5 linked regions of the Ovis aries genome follow. The protein of the gene in region 3 purifies or fractionates together with the protein of the main gene of each other region. This does not show direct contact. Links are inferred from orthologs where the notes say so. Each region holds a gene or a part of one and is shown on either strand. Other genes may lie near its edges.

Region 1 (3,924 bases), on a different chromosome or scaffold from region 3:
ACAGGAACAGCTTTGCATTTCAAAACCTACTGAATTATGGCAACCACTGCAGAGAGATCAGAATTTTGTTGTTTTACCTTCACATTTCTTACTAATAGTGACCCACTCCAAGGAAACATAGAAACCACTTCCTTTCATAGCCAATTCCTCTTTCTCTATTCGAAGGAGGAGAGTAGCTATTGCATGTTCTTCAGCTTTCAGCAATGAGATACTGTGAATTATGATAAAAGGACTCCCAAGCTCTTCATTAAATACAATCTACAAAAAAGAAAAAAAGATGGCATTCACAAAAACGTATTACATGAATGCATAGAGCACAGAGGAAATACACAGAATTCTGACAATCCAACAAGTAATTTGGATACTGTTTACTGCAAGGACACAAGAACAGAAAAGCCCTGAAATAAAGCTTATAAGTTTAAAATACAGCTTAAAGAAATAACTTTTAGAAAACATCTATTTGTTTAACAGAGAAAACTGATCAGTAAGCACAGAAAACAAAAGGGCCTCCAAATGGCATCTACAAGAGAAAGGGAATTAAAAGCAATCCTCTAGAAAAGAATTGCCAAGTGAAAAAGAGTGCTCCGTACAGAGGAAATGAGGTCAATATTCCCTTACTGCATCTCTTCCCCTGTCTCATATCTAATTTATTGAGATATATTAATATATTGTATAATATTATATCCATCCATTTATAATAGTCATTTATATTATATGTTAATATATTAATCATATCTCTAATTTATTTCTGCCTTCTTCTTAGTTTCTGAATACTGTTTGTATATATGTGCGTATATCTTTCTTTCCTATTGTTTTTGTTTGCTTTGTGTTGTTTGTTTTCTGGAAACTTACAAAGGTACAGTGTCAGACTTTATTTTTTTGGGCTCCAAAATCACTGCAGATGGTGACTGCAGCCATGAAATTAAAAGACGCTTACTCCTTGGAAGAAAAGTTATGACCAACCTAGATAGCATATTCAAGAGCAGAGATATTACTTTGCCAACAAAGGTCCGTCTAGTCAAGGCTATGGTTTTTCCAGTGGTCATGTATGGATGTGAGAGTTGGACTATGAAGAAGGCTGAGCGCCAAAGAATTAATGCTTTTGAACTGTGGTGTTGGAGAAGACTGTTGAGAGTCCCATGGACTGCAAGGAGATCCAACCAGTCCATTCTGAAGGAGATCAGCCCTGGCTGTTCTTTGGAGGGAATGATGCTAAAGCTGAAACTCCAGTACTTTGGCCACCTCATGCGAAGAGTTGACTCATTGGAAATGACTCTGATGCTGGGAGGGATTGGGGGCAAGAGGAGAAGGGGACGACAGAGGATGAGATGGCTGGATGGCATCACCGAATCGATTGATGTGAGTCTGAGTCAACTCTGGGAGTTGGTGATAGACAGGGAGGCCTGGCGTGCTGCGATTCATGGGGTCGCAAAGGGTCGGACATGACTGAGCAACTAAACTGAACTGAAGAGTCAAAGGAACTGGAGAACAAATCATGAAAACTTTCTTACTGTTCTAAAACAAAAGATCTCATGTCATCTAAAAAGATAATTCCACTAACTGTTAAATATTGAAATTTCTTCTAAGGAAAAAAAAAAAAGCAAATCAAAGCATCATGGAAAGATGTACAAAATCTTATCAAATTCTTCTTAAAACACATAATCTAAAAGACTACTGTATCTTTGTTAAATATCGATCAGGAAAGGTTTTAAGACTGATTTCGAAACAAGTTTTTCAAATAAGTGAAAAAATAAATAGATAAATAGTTTGAATACAAATCTAACTGAAACACAAGAATTAGCTCTTTTTTTCTTTTTAAACCTGTATCTGGAATCACCTGGGCTGCTACCTGAAAGCCTTATTAAAAAAAAGGTTGCATTACCCTAATGCTCACAGCAGGAGTACTTAAAATAGCCAAGACATGGAAGTAATCTAAATGTCTATCAACAGATGAATGGATAAGGATGTGGTATACATACAATGGAATACTATTCAGCCATAAAAAGAATAAATAATGCCATCTGCAGCAACACGGATGGACCCAAAGGTTATCCAACTTAAGTGAAATAAGTCAGACAGAGAAAGACGAATATCACACAATATCACTTATCTAAAACATGATACAAATTAACTGATTTACAAAACAGGAAAACACTCAGAAAACAAACTTATAGTTACCAAAGGGGAAGAGGGATAAATTAGGAATTTGGGATTATCATATACAAACTACCATATATAAAATAGGTAAACAAAAAGTTCCCACTGTATAACATAGGGACCTATATTCAATACTTTGAAATAAACTACAATGGAAAAGAATATACATACATACATACATACATATATATATGTATATATATATACACATATATCACTCAATCACTTTGCTCAATCACTTTGCTGTACACCAAATCTAACAAAACACTGCAAATTGTAACTAGAGTTCAATAAAAAGAAAAATGTGCTTAAATGTCATTAGTTTCCCTTTGTGTTTGAGCAACTCTACCAAAATTATTCAAACAGTAGACCTTTGGAATCCATTCTAAATTCTTCCATAGGTAAGGGGAGAGCCCTCCCTCAAATACCCAAAATAGAGAAGATAGACACATTTTTGGTTAAGTGGGTTTTGCTTCTGTTTGGGGGACAAGAATAAATAAAAGGGTAGGAAGAAAAAATGGTAAGTTTTGCCAAGTCCAAGTAGCCAGATTCCTGTTTCCTCCCCCTCTTTCTCGCTCATGTAAGGCCAGAGGAGACCATGTCAGGACTTTTAGAAACTCTTAGGTTGACGTTTCCAGTCCCCTGAACAAGCCTAGCAAATCAATTGTGAAGCTGTTGATACACAGCACTCCCATCATGTTAGAGGCCACACATGCCCTGCCTTCTTTCACTTCTCCTTCTACATTTCAGACATCACCACCACGCTTGCTGGGCCCCCTTATGCCCTACCATGCCCCCATCACTTCCACCTTTAGCCTTCTCTCTTACACCAATTCCCCCAAAGTCCTAAAACTCATATATTTCTCTCAAAGTGACCACTATCCCACAGTATCCCTTCCACTTCAGTTAACCCCCTGGTCCCATAATTTCCCCACTGTCCCCACCTCCCCAGAGAGGACTGACTTCATTATGGCAGTATATATACTGAAGAACATATGAAGTAAATTCAATTTTTAATTTATTTTAAAAATCTTATTGAAGGACTTATATGGACTAAGGAGATATACATAGCAGAAACCAAATGAATTATAAACCCATATGAATTTTCTTCTGATGGACTACGTGGTATTATTCTTAATCCGAAGGTGAAGAGGGTCAGTGTGTTTCTTACACCAACAGAATCCCCATAGCTTGATAACAGATACATTCTCATTCATATCGCTCCTGTCCATCATTCTCCAAATTCTTTTCAACTGTTTCAGATAGCTGGGTGCTATATACCATATATCCTCAGTCAAAAAAGAAAAGAAAAAATTATTGGAGGCAGAAACAGAATATGTCACAATGTCCAATGAATATTTAAAACTGTGACTGACTGCAAAGGCCTCCTATAAACAGGCTGTTGTTCTGGTATTTCATCGTGTTTTGTGTTTAACTTTTTGAACACACTGCAATTAGGTAGTGCAGGATCTGGTATAACAATAAGAAAGGTAAACCACTAAGGTCTTGTTGTTTCTCTCAAATAATTAAAGCCCAGTGTTTACAGGCACCTGTTGGTCTGATAAAAATGTTTTATAAGATGTAAAATATTAAATTCTATCTCTTTAGCTACCTAGAACTAAAGGCCACCTGCTGAAATTTAGAAGGCAGCAATATCACGTTGTACTTTATTAGCACAACTCAGTGTCACTCTGTCTACTTTCAAAACCTGTGGCTCTGGAGAAACTAATTTCATGTTTATTATTACTAAAATGCAAACCTGCCCCT
Region 2 (3,274 bases), on a different chromosome or scaffold from region 3:
GACATGGATGGACCCAGAGACTGTCATATATAGTGATGCCAGAAAAATAAATATCATATAACGTCACTTATATGTGGAGTCTAGAAAAATTTTTACAGATGAACTTATTTGCAAAGCAGAAATAGACATACAGATGTAAAGAACAAACATATGGATACCAAGGGGGAAGAGGGGAGTGGGAGTATGGAGAGATTAGAATATATATATATAGACTACTATGTATAAATAGACAACTAACGAGTACCTACTGTATAGCACAAGAAACTATTCAATGCTCTGTGGTGACTTACATGGGAAGGAAATCTTAAGAAAAAGGGGATATATGTACACATACAGCTGATTCACTTTGTTGTACAGCAGAAACTAACACAACATTGTAAATCAATTATACGCCAATAAAATTAATTAAAAGATAAAATGAACATGGATCTGTTTTCTCAAGGTATTTGATACTTTCTTCTAGGACCTAAATTTCAAAGAAAAGCCCTTTAGAACATGATGAGGCATTTTTGGATACAATGATGTCAGAATGTTAAATCAGTAACCATTAATCAAGTAAATCAAAGTCTATCTCATTGCATATCACATATATTCACAACTCAAACAGCAATTTAAATTTATAATAGAGATCTATAATGCAACTAAAAGAAATTCATCGTTACCTAAAATTATGTAATTACACATTTATTCATAAAACAACAAAAGACTTAGGAATAGATCTGTTTATTGTACTGTGAAAATGGTCTTGATACATGTGAGAAACATTATATACTTTGAGGACAGCATTCAAAACTGTTAAGACAAAAGACAAACTATAATTTTAAAATCAATCTTGATTTAAGGGAAAGGCTATAAATTATTGGCTGGAATGCATTCAGCATGAACTCAGATTCTATATAACACAAAGCACAAAAAGAGTACAAAAGATGTTGGAGTCCAGTAAGCCCATACCTAAATTTTAACTGTAAAGCTGCAAAGACTTTTGTTTATTCTTATATACTATTTTTCTTCTGAGACAAGTTGATTTTATCTCCAAGACTTAAGGCCATTCCCTGTAAGAAAGAATGAAGATGTTTATACATAATTATTAAAACTATATGTAATCAGTAGGTTATTCCATCTTACCAAGCCCCCATTCAAAGATACCACATCAACACTGACACTAAGACGTACAAAACAGACTCAACAAAACTTTACTTGGTTAAGTACTTGTAGCGCTAGATTTATAGAGTCACTAGATTTCAAAAAACTACAGAATACATTCAGAAACACTCCATAGGAATTAATCTGATTGCAAATAAACCAGAATGACAGACCCAAAAGGTGGGCCATTTATTAAAGGAAGGAGTTATATTTCAAGAGTGAAAAGTGAAAGCGAAAGCTGCTCAGTCATGTCTGACTCTTTGTGACTCCATGGACTATATGGTCCATGGAATTCTCCCAGCCAGAATATGGGAGTGGGTAGCCTTTCCCTTCTCATCTTCCCAATCCAGGGATCAAATCCAGGTCTCCTGCACTGCAGGCAGCTTCTTTACCAGCTGAGTCACCAGGGAAGCCCAAGAATACTGAAGTGGGTAGCCTATCCCTTCTCTAGCAGATCTTCTCAACCCAGGAATCGAACCAGGGTTTCCTGCATTGCAGGTGGATTCTTTACCAAGTATGATTATCATAAATATGTGTGTGTGCTTAGTTGCTCAGTTGTGTCCAACTCTTTGTGACCCCATGGATTGTGGCCCACCAGGCTCATCTGTCCATGGGGATTCTCCAGGCAAGAATACTGGAGTGGGCTGCCATGCCCTCCTGTAGGGGATCTTCCTGACTCAGGGATCGAACCTAGGTCTCCTGTATTGCAGGCGGATTCTTTACTGTCTGAGCCAGAGTGACGTTGCATTAGATGCATATATATTATATATAATTATTAGAAATATTAAAATAGTATATATTATAGATATAAAATAATATATTGTTATAAATATAAAATTAATATCATAAATATAAAATATTTATTATATTTATTTATCTGTTACCTGACTCTTTGCACGGATTCTTATGTGGCCAGTAACAGGGGCCTCTGGTCCCTGCTGTATTGGCTTCTCAATGCTAACATTTGCAAGTGCATCTTCTCCAAATATGGAACGAGCATAGAGGTTGGCTGCCATAAAGCCACAGTAACCAGAAAGTGCCTGAAAGAAATTTGTGAGAAACTCAATACTAGAGAACTACACTTAAGCAAGACTAAACAGCACAGGTAAATTATCACCACTTAAAGCAACTTATTCACCATTTACTCATACATGACTGTATGAACTTGTTGATACTCACAGAACTATACACATAAAATGTGTGAGCTTTACTGTGTCTGTATCTCGATAAACCTGATCAAAGAAATAGCACTTATCCTAATTTGCATTTCTATATTCTTTGTTTAGAGTTGTGTGACTGCCTCCTACACCAGACCTTAAGCTCTATAAAGAACGAGACTATTTTTATTGTCTTCATTATTGTATATCCAGCAGCTCACAGAGTATCGGCATATAATATTTATCAGACTCAATATCTGTTGAATAGACTAACATGAATTAAAGCCTACTTGATTTGGTCTGGCAGTATTCTTTCACTGATTAAATCAGCACCGCAACATTAGCAGACATTTTATAAAGAAAACTTCCTTACATTCTCAGTTTCAGTTTTTGGTCTTTCTCTCTAGTCTTTTTTTTTACATACATATACAAACAGAGCAGAAAATCAGAGTATATTAACAATTCCATACTTGATCAGATATATTCTGACCCAAAATCAGAATCAAAAGAAGAGGTCATGGACATTTGATAATCTAGTACACTTTGGAATAAGTCTTTAGTTGAAAGGGAGAAGACTGAAAAGAAAAGTCAATCTGACTATTTAGTTGGGACACTGCTCTAGGGACAAGCAGATACTGTTCTTATTTCAGTAGAAAGCAGTAAGCAGATTCACACATTCTACAGGATAGTTTTTTTCTAACTAGCCCAGAATGACACTGCTTTTCTCAGGCTAAGTAAAAACACAATATACTACAGGAAATACAAGAAAGCCAAGAATCTATCATTACTCTGTATCAAATTTAAGAAGTACCCAGGCAAATCTTACCTTCTCTGGAGTGAGGCATTTCATGTTGGTTGACTTTAATATGTGCTGTAAATAGTCGTTTAAATCAACTATATTTGTGTTAACCGTCACCTGTAGAGAGGAAGAGAAAAAAAAGTCAAGAGATTATACTTTTAACAAAGAGAAAGTT
Region 3 (3,924 bases):
ACCGGGCCACCTTCTACCTCAACGTCCTGGAGCAGAAGCAGAAGGCCCTCAACGCAGGCTATATCCTGAATGGTGAGTCCTCCTCGCCCGACCACTCCCCTCGCCCCCGTCCCGGGCGGCGGCCTTCCCGGGCGGCGTGCCCTCCGCTGGCCTCCCGCGGCAACTGCAGGGCGTCACTGTCATCTCAGGAGGCGCCGGACCCCAAGGGCGGGAGCAGCCCAGAGAGCTGAGCCGCTCGCCAGTCCTACGAACCTGCCGAGCACTCCCCGCTGTGTCCAAGCCCCTGTCCCGTGTCCATTCGCTCCTCGCAACAGTGCTGCAGAGGAGGGTGTCCTGCGAAGTCGGGGCTCGGCAGTCTCGCTGGTTTCCTCAGGGTCCTACAGCCTTGACCCCCGGCCCCCGGCTCGCTCTGGCCTCTAGGTCTGACCGTGTCCATCCCGGGTCTGGAGAGGGCACTGCAGCAGTACACGCTGGAGCCGTCGGAGAAGCCCTTCGACCTCAAGTCCGTGCCCCTGGCCACTGCGCCCATGGCAGAGCAGAGGACAGGTCAGGCGCACCTGTGTCCTTCAGAGGCCCTTGGGCCCAGGCCTCCTCTGGAGGGTCTGCCTGGCCTGCGAGGCCACCGCAGCTGCCCAGGGTAGAAGGGGCTGTGCTGGGCGGGGGGAGTCCCCCTGCCTGCCTCTGGCCCTGGAGAGGAAGCCCCCTGCACACAGTCACGCGCACCGTCTCCCGTGCTCCGTGCTTCACAGTGGGAGGTGGGGATCACACTTCCCGAGTAATGGCGCTGTGGTCCATGTGCCCTGGCCATCTCTGAGCTATGCATGCTTGTTCCCGCAGAAAGCACCCCGGTCACCGCCGCCAAGCAGCCCGAGAAGGTGGCTGCCACCCGGCAGGAGATCTTCCAGGGTGAGTGAGGGGGCTCGCAGGCCGCGGCGACTCTTCCCGCAGGAGCTGAGATCGGGGCTCCCCTGCGTGCTGGCTCTGAGTGTGTTCAGACAGCGTGCTCGACCCTTAGTGGAGGTTGGTGCACCCATTTGGGATCTGAGGATTTGGGTGTTCAGAGAGACAGGGTGATTTGCCCCAGTTTGCACAGCACCAGGGGGAGGGCAGAAACAAAGTCCAGCTCCAGCTGGCTTAGAGCCGCTTTGGCCTTGTTCTGAGTGCTGCAGGCCCTGGGCCCAGTCGGTTCGGGACGTCTGGCGCTCCTCAGCGGAGCTGAGGGCACGCCACAGTCCTGTGTCTCGGGCTCCAAATGTGCTCCGGCCACCTTGTCTGGCAGGGTTTGGTGAGGATTCCGTCTGTCCGTCTGCTCCCGCATTTCTCAGGGGAGAGGCTGTGTGTCTAGTTGGCAGACCACGTTGTCCATCAGCTTCCTGCCTTCGAGTCCCAGCAGCAGCCTCCCGTCCAGGTGGCCCCAGCCCGCCGCCCCGACTCGCCTCCTCTGCTGCCCTGCTGCGTGCTCTCGCAGCTTCTGACCTGTTTTCTGTCCGTAACTGCACTGGTGCCGGCCTCCTCCTAGCAGGCTCCCGATGACTGTGGGATTCATTTCAAGTCCGCCTTGTCCTTTCCACTCCCGAACCTGTCTTCCACCAACACGCCATCTCTCAGGTGTGGCTGAACCAGGACCCTGAGCTGGCTGGCGTCGCTCTCCCTGCAGGCTTTCCCTGTGTGTCCTTCCCTCTTGCTGCCGGCAGAGATCAGCACGAACTTGGTGGTTTCACTCAAGGCTGCTCCACCCCATGTCCTGAGGCCTGAGTTCAGCCTCGTTACGGGCGGAAAGAGCAGGATAATGATGATACTGCCTGCCTTCTCCCTCTGTCCCTGAAGTCCTACTAAGTCTAGGGCAGAGGATCATACCGCCTCAGGTAGAGTTCTTTTCCACGTGGAGGTCAGTGTAGCCGGGAAGGTGAGTGACGGATCTTGACTCATGGTCCTCAGGCATCCGTGTGCGTCAGAGTCACGAGGGGAAGCTTGTTCGAGATGCAGGAGGGGGCCTCTGACGGGCGTGTCTGGGGAGGCCTGAGGATCTGCACTGTGGCCATGCCCGCAGCCCCGGGTGTTTCTGGAGCAGTGACTCCTGAGCACAGCGGGGAGAGCAGGGCCAGCTGGGAGCGCCTCGTTCTCCCAGGCGCACCCGGGCCGGAAGCTGGCCTGCACCGGGTGCCCGCCGGCCGCTCTGAGCCGGGCGTTCTGTGACTGAATCTGCCCCCTCTCCTTTGGGGCCGCTTGTCCCGACAGCCACGTGTCTGAGAGCAGTCTGTCCTTCTGCCTGGCTCCGTGGCCAGCAGCGTTCGCTTCCTCTTTGTCTTTCCCTGTCTCCCTCTTCTGAGCACCCTTGCTGAGTTTCTAAGCTTGAGGGGGTCTCTGGATGGATGAGGCCGGGCCGTGGGCCTGACGTCCATCGGTTGGTCTGGCGTCCCATGTGGGACAGCGGGGAGTGCTCGGGTGTCTCGGGGAACCGAGAGAGAGAGGCCTGAGGACTGATCAGAGACCCCGCTGAGCTGCTGGGTGAATGCGCGGCCTATGGGTTTCAGAGCAGCTGGCGGCCGTGCCCGAGTTCCAGGGGCTGGGGCCCCTCTTCAAGTCCGCGCCTGAGCCCGTGGCCCTCACCGAGTCGGAGACGGAGTACGTCGTCCGCTGCACAAAGCACACCTTCGTGGACCACATGGTCTTCCAGGTGAGCGGGGGCCCTCCGGGGGGACCCCCATGCCGAGTGGCTGGAGCCGGGCTCGATGCCGGCTCCAGCTGCTACGTGTCGAGTCCCTGACTCAGGGCCTGTGCGGCTCCCGCGTGTCCACTTGGAGACAGGGGGTCTGGGCAGGGGGCCTGGGTCGAGAGTCAGGGTGGCCCTGGGGTAGGAGGCAGGGCTCCCGACGCCTCCTCTGCAACTCGGGGGGCCCCCCACCCCCCGGCTCAGCGTCTCGGCCCCTCTGCTCCCTGGTCCAGTTTGACTGCACGAACACCCTCAACGATCAGACCCTGGAGAACGTCACGGTGCAGATGGAGCCCACGGAGGCCTACGAGGTGCTGTGTTACGTGCCCGCCCGGAGCCTGCCCTACAACCAGCCCGGGACCTGCTACACGCTGGTGGCCCTGCCCAAGGAGGACCCCACGGCGGGTGAGCTCCCCCGGCCTCCCAGGCGCCCGTGGGTCGGGGTAGGGAGGGCGGCCTGTGCACCAGCTGTTCGTCTCTGGTCAGAGCTTCAGCTCCTCGAGGTCTGTCCAGAGCAGAAGGCCGGCCCGACCTGGGGCTTTGCACACAGCAGCTCGTTTCCTCCTCACACACCCTTGCGGGCAGCACTGCTCTCTCTCTCTGAGAGGGCCACCGAGATGGGGTAAACAGCTTGCCTGAGTTCACCAGGCTGCGAGGCCGAGCCCCGGCCCTCAGGCAGGACTCTGTCTCGGCCGTGAAAGAGCCAGAGAGAGGCACAGACGTGACCGTCTGAGTCCACTCCTCCCAGAGAGGCAGGGGCTTTTCCGGGCCTGGGGTGGTGGGCCTGGGCGGCATGTGGACGTGGCCAGCCTGAAGCGTCTGAGTCCACTCCTCCCAGAGAGGCAGGGGCTTTTCCGGGCCTGGGGTGGTGGGCCTGGGCGGCATGTGGACGTGGCCAGCCTGAAGCGTCTGAGTCCTCTCCTCCCAGAGAGGCAGGGGCTTTTCCGGGCCTGGGGCGGTGGGCCTGGGCGGCATGTGGACGTGGCCAGCCTGAAGCGTCTCTGCCACCCTTGCTTCTCTTTCCTCGTGAGGGCAGCTCCTCAGGCTCCTGCCTCCCCACGCCACTGCCCTTGGTCCAGACCCGCGGGCAGGCTGGCCTGGGCCGCTGGCGCGGTCGAGGCCTGGAGGACAGGCTGTGGCCGCCTGCCCGCAGAGGCCCCCAACGGCGTGCCTTCCCTCCTGCAGTGGCCTGCACGTTCAGCTGCATGATG
Region 4 (3,924 bases), on a different chromosome or scaffold from region 3:
GAGTATAAAAATATGTAAACAAACTTTACTAGAGCCAAAGGACAATTTTGTCCTCAAGCTATATCTAATTTAGTGAAGAAACTTCTAAACTAATTTCAAAGTTTTCAACATTATGTCAAAAACAAGGATAATTGAGTAAAAGAAAAAAAATAATAAAGTAAATCAAAGCCCTAAGATAGTCAACATGTACCATTTAATAGTAAGTTGTCAGACAAACAGAAGATAACATTTTATATAAGTCAAAGGAAAACTAATAAAAATGTTATATAGATGTAAGCCTATTCATGTAACCAAAGTTAAATCTATGCATATAGATATATTTTAAGTACTACAGTGGGAAAAGGAATATATTTTCACTCATTGCAACATGTATTAAGCATCTAATATAGACAGGGCACTGTGCTGCTTGCTAATGTGTGTCTGCTTGTGGGAGGAGGGTAACATACGGTTCCTGCCCCAAACATCAACATGTCGGGAATAAAGATTTTCCATTATTATTCAACAGGAAGGCCATAATAGAGACCCCCAAAAATGGAAGGAATGGGATGAGAATGGCTCTGTCTAGGGGTGAAACGGATGGCTGAAGAGAGCTTCTCAGAGTAAATAACTGCTAAGCCTTGAAAGATGAGTAATTCTCCAGAGGAAAAGAAATCAATAAGGGAGAATAAAGGATACTGTAGGCATTGGGCCCAGCTGAATGAGGTAAGGTTCTGTGAACATTCACGGCTTCTCGAGAAAATGGTGAGGAGACCAGGTTTACAGGAGATGTCTCGTAACATTAGCTAAGGTTGGTCTTGCAAACCCTTATATTCCATACCAAGGCATCTGGACTTTACCCTTAGATTGGGAACTGACAAGATGGAACCCACGTTTTAGAAAGATAACTGGCAGTGGTATGGAGAAATGGAGTAAGAAAAACAGAATGGAGGTAAATGAAATAGATTAATAATCTGCAGAAGGCAACAGCAAATACACTAACAAAGAGGAAAACAGTGACCTAGAGAAGACACAGGCATTTTCTTATTCTGGGTTTGCAGAGGTTTAAAACTCTTACTATATATTGCTTCCACATGGAGAAACACCCCTCCATTAAGAGCACTGAGTTGCCACACCATTTTTCTAAACAGAATATGCCCTTCTGAATCAAAATAAGAAGTCCTATATTGCTTCAAAATGAGCTTTTTTTTTTTTTTTTCAAAATGAGCTTTTGAGAGAAACTTCTCAGATAGGAAGCCAGCAGTAAAATACCTAACACAATTATATCTCACCAACAAGCATAACTGACACAAACAGTGGGCACCTTACCTTGATTGTCCTGTCCAAAGAAGCACTGGCAAACTGGTTGTTATCTTTAGGGTTGATCACAATCTGCATTACATAATGGGTGTGTCCTTCAAACACTTGTGAGCAAGACCATTTTTTATCCCAGTCCCAGAGTTTAATAAGCATGTCATCTAGATCAAAAGAAAGTCTCCACTTAGTTGCAATATCTATTTCTTTCATTCAGAACTAAGGTGCAGAATCTCTGTGCCTTTTTAAGGAAGAAAATCTAACACAAATCATATATTCCATGACTTACAGACACAGAATCAGAATTGAACAGATTTTTCAAAATGCTCATTCTAAGAATAATTTTAACTTTCTGAAGAATGGAGATAAAAGACATTACTAATAGCAAATATACAAATTTCATGGAAGAAATTTAAAACAGACTCGATGGGTTTTACAGAATGATAAAAGAATAACACAAGTTTAATTAGAGTCTAAGTATGACTGAATAATGATGACAATGACTATTTCAGAAACAAGCATTTCTCTTTTAATCAGTTCAGTTGCTTAGTCATGTCTGACTCTTTTCCACCCCATGGACTGCAGCACGCCAGGCTTCAATTGGTTAAAAAAAGTTCTGAATTACTTCTCAATTTCTAACTTAAAAATGTTTCAAAGAGCTATTACCAATTCAGTGCAACCTGTTTTAACTGCCTTCCAAAAAGCTCCACTGCTTTACACATAATACCAAGGTGCAAACTAGTCTGAATATAAAGATAAAACTGACTAGAGTATATGGCAATCTGCCAAAAATTCACTCACTCAACACATAAATTAGCTTTCTGTTCAGCAGATGTTCCAGCATCTAGACCTTCAGGTATTCCCTGACAGGAATTGGAGCAACTGCTACACAAATCCTAAGTAGAGCTGATAGTCATTAAAATACAAAAGCAAGCAGCACTGATAGAACGTTAATGGATTTAAATAGTTTAAAGGCTGCTTGGAATCAGAACTCTACTTGTAACAGCAGTAAATGAATTGCACGTCTCACTAAATAAAAATGAATTACTCAAAGAGACCTACATGACCAAAAGGGGTCATCTCTTACCACTGCTGGTTAGAATGAAAGGCTGGGTTGGATGAACAGCAATACAGCGAATGTAGTCTGAATGTGCCTCAAACATATGAACTCTCTCCAGAGTGTTGTAATTGAATACTCTAATCTGCATGTCATCCTAGAAATGAAAATTTAAAAACCATCATTACTCTTATGAAGTAAATTGCACAAAAAAATATACTACAGGCTCAAGGTATAAAGTCCAGGGTTCAAAACACTGCACTCATTAACAAAAGAAAGCAAGAATCAAAATTCTGCAACTCATTTAGGTAATCACTGACCAATTCATAAATGGGATTAGAAATTCACATGCTTACTTACCGCTCCTGTTACAACCCAATTCTTCCTTGCAACAAACTTAGCAGCTCGGACAGGAAGATCACATACTTCAAATGTTTTCACCAGTGTCTTAAAAATGTAACAAGAACATACCACTTTGAGTTATGAAAAAACAACTGAAAAATCTATTCTGTTATATTTAAAACATCCAATTATTTAGATCACTTCTAATCTTAAAAATATTCTCTAGCTAAAATATAAAAGCAGTTGAATGGGAAACATTGACCAATCATCTTTTCTTTAACAGATTCAAACCTAAAATACTTATAAAAGAAAAAAGGAAAGCAAATATCCACAAGATGAAGTTCCCCATCCTCTGTGCTCCAGTCCTTCCCTACTTCTCTAGCCCCATCCTCAGCTACTCTCAGCCTTACCTTTGCTCCCATTCCCTCCACCTGAAAACCCACCCAAAGAACCTTATACTCCACTTTCACAACATAGCACTTTCGTAATTATATGCTTACTGTCAGTCTTTCCTGCTAAGCCCCCAAGGGTGGGAATCTTATTCACCACTGTATACCTAGAGCCTAAGAACAGTGGATGAAAAACCACCCACATGTAATAAGTATTTATTGAATGAATTAGCTCTTAGTTTTCTTCTTTTAAAAATTAAACCCATAAACTCATAAAATAAACTTATAAACAATATACAATTCTTTTGTATACTTCAGCAAGATACTTCCATACAGAAACTGTTTCTTTTTAGTGATGAACTAAGTGATTCCTAATTCTTCACAGTGATTAAGATGTCCTTTAAAGCTGCTCAGAATAGTTATATACACAGGATAGAAAGCTGCTCAGAAAAGAATTATACACACAGGATAAAGGTGGAAAACTAGAAGACCGTGCCAGAAAGAACAGCAATGAATACATTTCGTTGTCCTCCCACTTTGATACCTTGTTCTTTAAAATTCTGAAAGTCAAACTATCCCTTTAAAAAAATTATTTCATTCTTTTTATATGTAATTTATTTTTTGGCTGTTCTGGGTCTTCACTGCTGCACAGGTTTTTCTCTAGTTGTGGAGAGTGGGGGCTCTTCTCTAGTTGTTGTGCATGGGCTCTCATTGTAGTGGCCTTTCTTAAAGCAGAGCAAAGGCTCAAAGGTGCACATGCTTCAGCAGTTGTGGCATGTGGGCTCAGTTGTTGCGGCTTCTAGGCTCTGGAGCACAGAGTCAATAGCTGTGGTGCACGGGCTTAGG
Region 5 (3,924 bases), on a different chromosome or scaffold from region 3:
CAGGTATTTTATTAACTGCTACTCTATAAACTGCCAGTGCTTGTTTTGTTAGCTGAAGGGCAGTATCTAATGGTATATTCGAAATGTACATAGAATTCTTAAAAATAAGTATGTTCCACCTATGTGGCTTCTTTCTAAGAAACCTTTATAACGGTTGTTTTTGGTACATTTTATTTACTTATTTTCGAAAATTTCATTTATTGATGGTTTGGGTGAGTCTTTGTTGCTGCATAGGCTGCTCTCTAGCTGTGGTGTCCAGGTTTCTCATTGCAGTGGCTTCTTTTGTTTCAGAGTACATGCTCTAGGTCCATGGGCTTCAGTGGTTGAAGCTTCCAGGCTCTAGGAAATAGGCTCAATAGTTTTGGTGCACAGGCTCAATAGTTGTAGCTCACAGGCTTAGTTGCTTCGTGGCATGTGGGATCTTCCCGAATCAGGGATTGGTCACCTGCATTGGCAGGTGGATTCTTTACCATTGAGCCACAGGAAGTCCTGTCTTATTTTATTTTTAAAAATTTTTGGTTGTGCTGTGTGAAGTATGGGATCTTAGTTCCCTGACCAGGTATCAAACCCACCTACTCTTCATTAGAAGTGGGGAGTCTTAACCACTGGACCACCAAGGAAGATTGTTATATTTTATTTAGATAGTTGATCTTACATCTCTTGTCACAAGAACCAGGCCTTTTCAGAGAAGAAGATGATTTTGTCTACTTTTTTCCCTGCCTCATAGTTCAGTTCAGTTCAGCTCAGTCATGTTCAATTCTTTGGGACTCCATGGACTGCAGCATGCCAGGCTTCCCTGTTCATCACCAACTCCCTGAACTTGCCCAAACTCATGTCCATAAAGTCAATGATGCCATCCAACCATCTCACCCTCTGTCATCCCCTTCTCCTCCTGCCTTCAGTCTTTCCCAGCATCAGGGTCTTTTCAAATGAATCACTTCTTCGCATCAGGTGGCCAAAGTATTGGAGTTTCAGCATCAGTCCTTCCAATGAATATTCAGGACTAATTTCCTTTAGGAATGACTGGTTGGATCTTCTTGCAGTTCAAGGGACTCTCAAGAGTCTTTTCCAACACCACAGTTGAAAAGCATAACCAACACACAATTGTCTTTTGGAAGTAGTGCTTATATTATTTGACAGTAGCATTGCTGGCTCGTAAAGTGTATATAGTCATCAATGCAAAAGTTTCTTCTTTTTCCTTTTTTCCCCTAATATGACTTCTTTAAAAAAGATTGGTCCATCTTATTTGGCCTGAGTTTGAACAACTTTAGCTCTCTACACAAAATTGCAAGTAAACTTTGCACAGAGCTTTTCCCTCTCCTTCGTTAGTGTAAGATGAGGACTACTGTGTGACAAAGATGGCGGATCAAACTTTGACCCTTCTCTTCTATTTGGCCAGCTTGGCCTCACCTTGAGGCTGCTCCCCCTAAAGTATTTTTGTAAAGGACTTGGCTGATGGTCTTTTAACTTTTTTAGTTACAAAATTACTAACTTGTTACTTACAAACAAAATGGTTTAGAGTAAAAATTACATTATTGCTATTTTTAAAATGTCTTAAACCTTTAAAAGTCTTTCAGGGACCTCCCTGGTGGTTCAGTAGTTAAGATTCCACCTTCCAATGCAGGGTTTGTGGGTTCAATCCCTGGTGGGGGAACTAAGATCCCATATGATGTGGGGTTGCTAAGCCTGCTCACCACAATGAAGACCCAGTGCAATCAACATTTTTTAAAACACAGTCTTTGAAGAAGGGAAATCTTTCTTCAAAATAAAAAATAATTGAAATTTTTTTACGCACCCTATTTTAGATGTTTAGATTATGGGCCATGTAAGACCAAAAGGAATTTATTTCCTGTCTTGTCATGTCTGAACCTCAGAAATTTTCTTTCCTTTCTCATTTCAGACACATCCAAATGTGGATAAAAAACTTTTCACTGCAGAATCTCTAATTGGTTTGAAGAATCCAGAGAAGTCATTTCCAGTCAACAGTGATGTAGGGGTGCTAAAGTGGAGACTACAGACCACAGAGGAATCTTTTATTCCACTGACAAGTAGGTGCCTCTGGCCAGTCCTACTAAGCTAGTCTGCACTGAAAATTAGAAATAGCCCTGACTTGTGCACTCTTATCCTTATTGCCATAATTCTTTTTGGCAAAGTGACCTTTTAAAATGGACTGTATTTTAATGATTAGATTTAATTTTTAATATCTTTAATTTTGAAACCATTGTTTCTAGTAGTTTACATTAGAATGTTTTAAGGCTTGCTGGTATCGGTTTTGATTTGCAGTCTTAACTTTGCTTCATTCTTTTCCTAATGTTCTAGTATACTTGCTTTGCTTTTGTCTTCAGTTAATTGCTGGCCCTCAGAAAGTGGAAATGGTTGTGATGTCAACATAGAATATGAGCTACAAGAAGATAATTTAGAACTGAATGATGTGATTATCACCATTCCACTCCCGTAAGTTCCCCATATAATCACTTTTTCTATAGTGAGCTTATAGAACTAGTCTTTTAGAACTCAGTTTTGGAGGCAACACTTAGCTGACTGTCCATGCTAAGATATATAAGATACAAAGGCCAGTTGTGAAAGAAGCCTGGTGCAAAAGACTGCATACTAACTGTATGATTCCATGTATAAGACATTCTGAAAAGGTAATACCCTTGGGACAGAAATCAGGCATTTGACTGCAGAGGAGCACAAGGAAGCTTTGGAGATGATGGAGATATTCTGTGACTTGATTGTAATGTGCTTACATTACAGTGTAATGTCAAAATGTATCCAACTGTATACTTTTGAAGGAGTGCATATTACTGACTTTAAAGCCAAACATACAAAGCTGGTTGTAGTTCTAAAGCTGTGTTTTCAGATGTTGGTCTTCAGTTTGTTCCTGTAGTAATGAAGGTTTCCAGAAGGAGGAGCCAGTTCTCTGTTCTGTTTTGCAACTCTTAAATAAGAAATTGAGTCTGTCAGACTGAATTCTTTTTTCACGGTCTTTGCTAAGTTACCAGCTAAAGATGAGAGTGATTTCAGGGTGCTATTCTTGGTGAAACAAGATATTTGCATTAGTTTCAGGAAATTTTCTGACAACTTCATTGAGGTATGGTTGACATGCAATAAACTACGTATGTTTAAATTGTACAATTGGATAAGTTTTGACCTATATGCACCTGTGAAACCTGATCACAATTAAAATAACAAAAATCCATCACCCCCAGAAGTTTAGTTCCAGTAAGTTTTGATGTATGCTTAAATGGCATACTTTCTAGGATCACCTAGAAAACTTTTATCTCCTCACTAGCATTTCTAGTGACTGAACTACTATTATTTCACCATTGAATCCCTGCTCCTCTCCTTTGCCTCTCAGCATCCCCATGATTAAATACAGGGCTTAATAATGAATACCTAGTAAGTATATTCTTAGTGTGTTTTTACTATTAAATTGCTCAGTTATTATTACAGAGAAAACAGTTTTAATTTAATATGCAGGTTTATTCAAATTAATTTTAAATTAATTTGAATTAAAATTAAATTAATTTATAGTTTGATTCAGGTCCTGACATGGCCAGGTCTGGTTTTAGTCACTCTTATTTCCATTTTTTAAAACATGATTTATTACCAGTGTCCCCTTTAATGGGCTAATCATCTTAATTCTTCACAGCTTGGTTGTTACTTCAGAACAATAGATGTCTGCCTTGAACCATCCTGAGACTTGGGCGTTGGTGACAGGTGTGGGTTTTATTTTGTCAAGATTTATTTTGCTAGACTATTTTTAGGATGCCACAAGTTTTAGGCCTCTCCATCTACCCTATAATTGTGGTTATGGTGGTTTCCTGTGTCTTAGTTCAATTTTGCAACAGTCTCCAGAAGAGACCCTTGGACAGCACTTTACCCTTTTGTCTAGAACTGATCAAATTAGAGCTCAGAACC

Evidence for each region.
Region 1: the proteins of COPG1 (region 3) and NUDCD1 purify together in Homo sapiens (affinity purification with mass spectrometry; 3 studies listed by BioGRID and IntAct, counting the BioPlex papers as one, with this or other methods). This does not show direct contact. The link is inferred for Ovis aries from reciprocal best matches to the Homo sapiens genes COPG1 and NUDCD1.
Region 2: the proteins of COPG1 (region 3) and COPB1 fractionate together in Homo sapiens (co-fractionation; 11 studies listed by BioGRID and IntAct, counting the BioPlex papers as one, with this or other methods). This does not show direct contact. The link is inferred for Ovis aries from reciprocal best matches to the Homo sapiens genes COPG1 and COPB1.
Region 4: the proteins of COPG1 (region 3) and COPB2 purify together in Homo sapiens (co-immunoprecipitation; 8 studies listed by BioGRID and IntAct, counting the BioPlex papers as one, with this or other methods). This does not show direct contact. The link is inferred for Ovis aries from reciprocal best matches to the Homo sapiens genes COPG1 and COPB2.
Region 5: the proteins of COPG1 (region 3) and ARCN1 purify together in Homo sapiens (affinity purification with mass spectrometry; 6 studies listed by BioGRID and IntAct, counting the BioPlex papers as one, with this or other methods). This does not show direct contact. The link is inferred for Ovis aries from reciprocal best matches to the Homo sapiens genes COPG1 and ARCN1.

What each region holds. Positions count from the first base shown.
Region 1 is NC_056062.1:68,042,983-68,046,906, reverse strand, and holds part of NUDCD1 (nudC domain-containing protein 1), read right to left. Parts: intron 259-3,924; coding exon 78-258; intron 1-77.
Region 2 is NC_056068.1:38,014,444-38,017,717, reverse strand, and holds the end of COPB1 (coatomer subunit beta), read right to left. Parts: intron 3,217-3,274; coding exon 3,127-3,216; intron 2,184-3,126; coding exon 2,028-2,183; intron 1,053-2,027; coding exon 993-1,052; 3' UTR 708-992; downstream 1-707. UniProt on the Homo sapiens protein: The coatomer is a cytosolic protein complex that binds to dilysine motifs and reversibly associates with Golgi non-clathrin-coated vesicles, which further mediate biosynthetic protein transport from the ER, via the Golgi up to the trans Golgi network.
Region 3 is NC_056072.1:59,028,624-59,032,547, forward strand, and holds part of COPG1 (coatomer subunit gamma-1), read left to right. Parts: coding exon 1-72; intron 73-420; coding exon 421-546; intron 547-837; coding exon 838-906; intron 907-2,534; coding exon 2,535-2,677; intron 2,678-2,946; coding exon 2,947-3,118; intron 3,119-3,898; coding exon 3,899-3,924. UniProt on the Homo sapiens protein: The coatomer is a cytosolic protein complex that binds to dilysine motifs and reversibly associates with Golgi non-clathrin-coated vesicles, which further mediate biosynthetic protein transport from the ER, via the Golgi up to the trans Golgi network.
Region 4 is NC_056054.1:250,327,364-250,331,287, reverse strand, and holds part of COPB2 (coatomer subunit beta'), read right to left. Parts: intron 2,795-3,924; coding exon 2,708-2,794; intron 2,505-2,707; coding exon 2,378-2,504; intron 1,455-2,377; coding exon 1,306-1,454; intron 846-1,305; exon of another isoform or gene 676-845; intron 1-675. UniProt on the Homo sapiens protein: The coatomer is a cytosolic protein complex that binds to dilysine motifs and reversibly associates with Golgi non-clathrin-coated vesicles, which further mediate biosynthetic protein transport from the ER, via the Golgi up to the trans Golgi network.
Region 5 is NC_056068.1:28,983,887-28,987,810, forward strand, and holds part of ARCN1 (coatomer subunit delta), read left to right. Parts: intron 1-1,900; coding exon 1,901-2,048; intron 2,049-2,345; coding exon 2,346-2,454; intron 2,455-3,924. UniProt on the Homo sapiens protein: Component of the coatomer, a cytosolic protein complex that binds to dilysine motifs and reversibly associates with Golgi non-clathrin-coated vesicles, which further mediate biosynthetic protein transport from the ER, via the Golgi up to the trans Golgi network.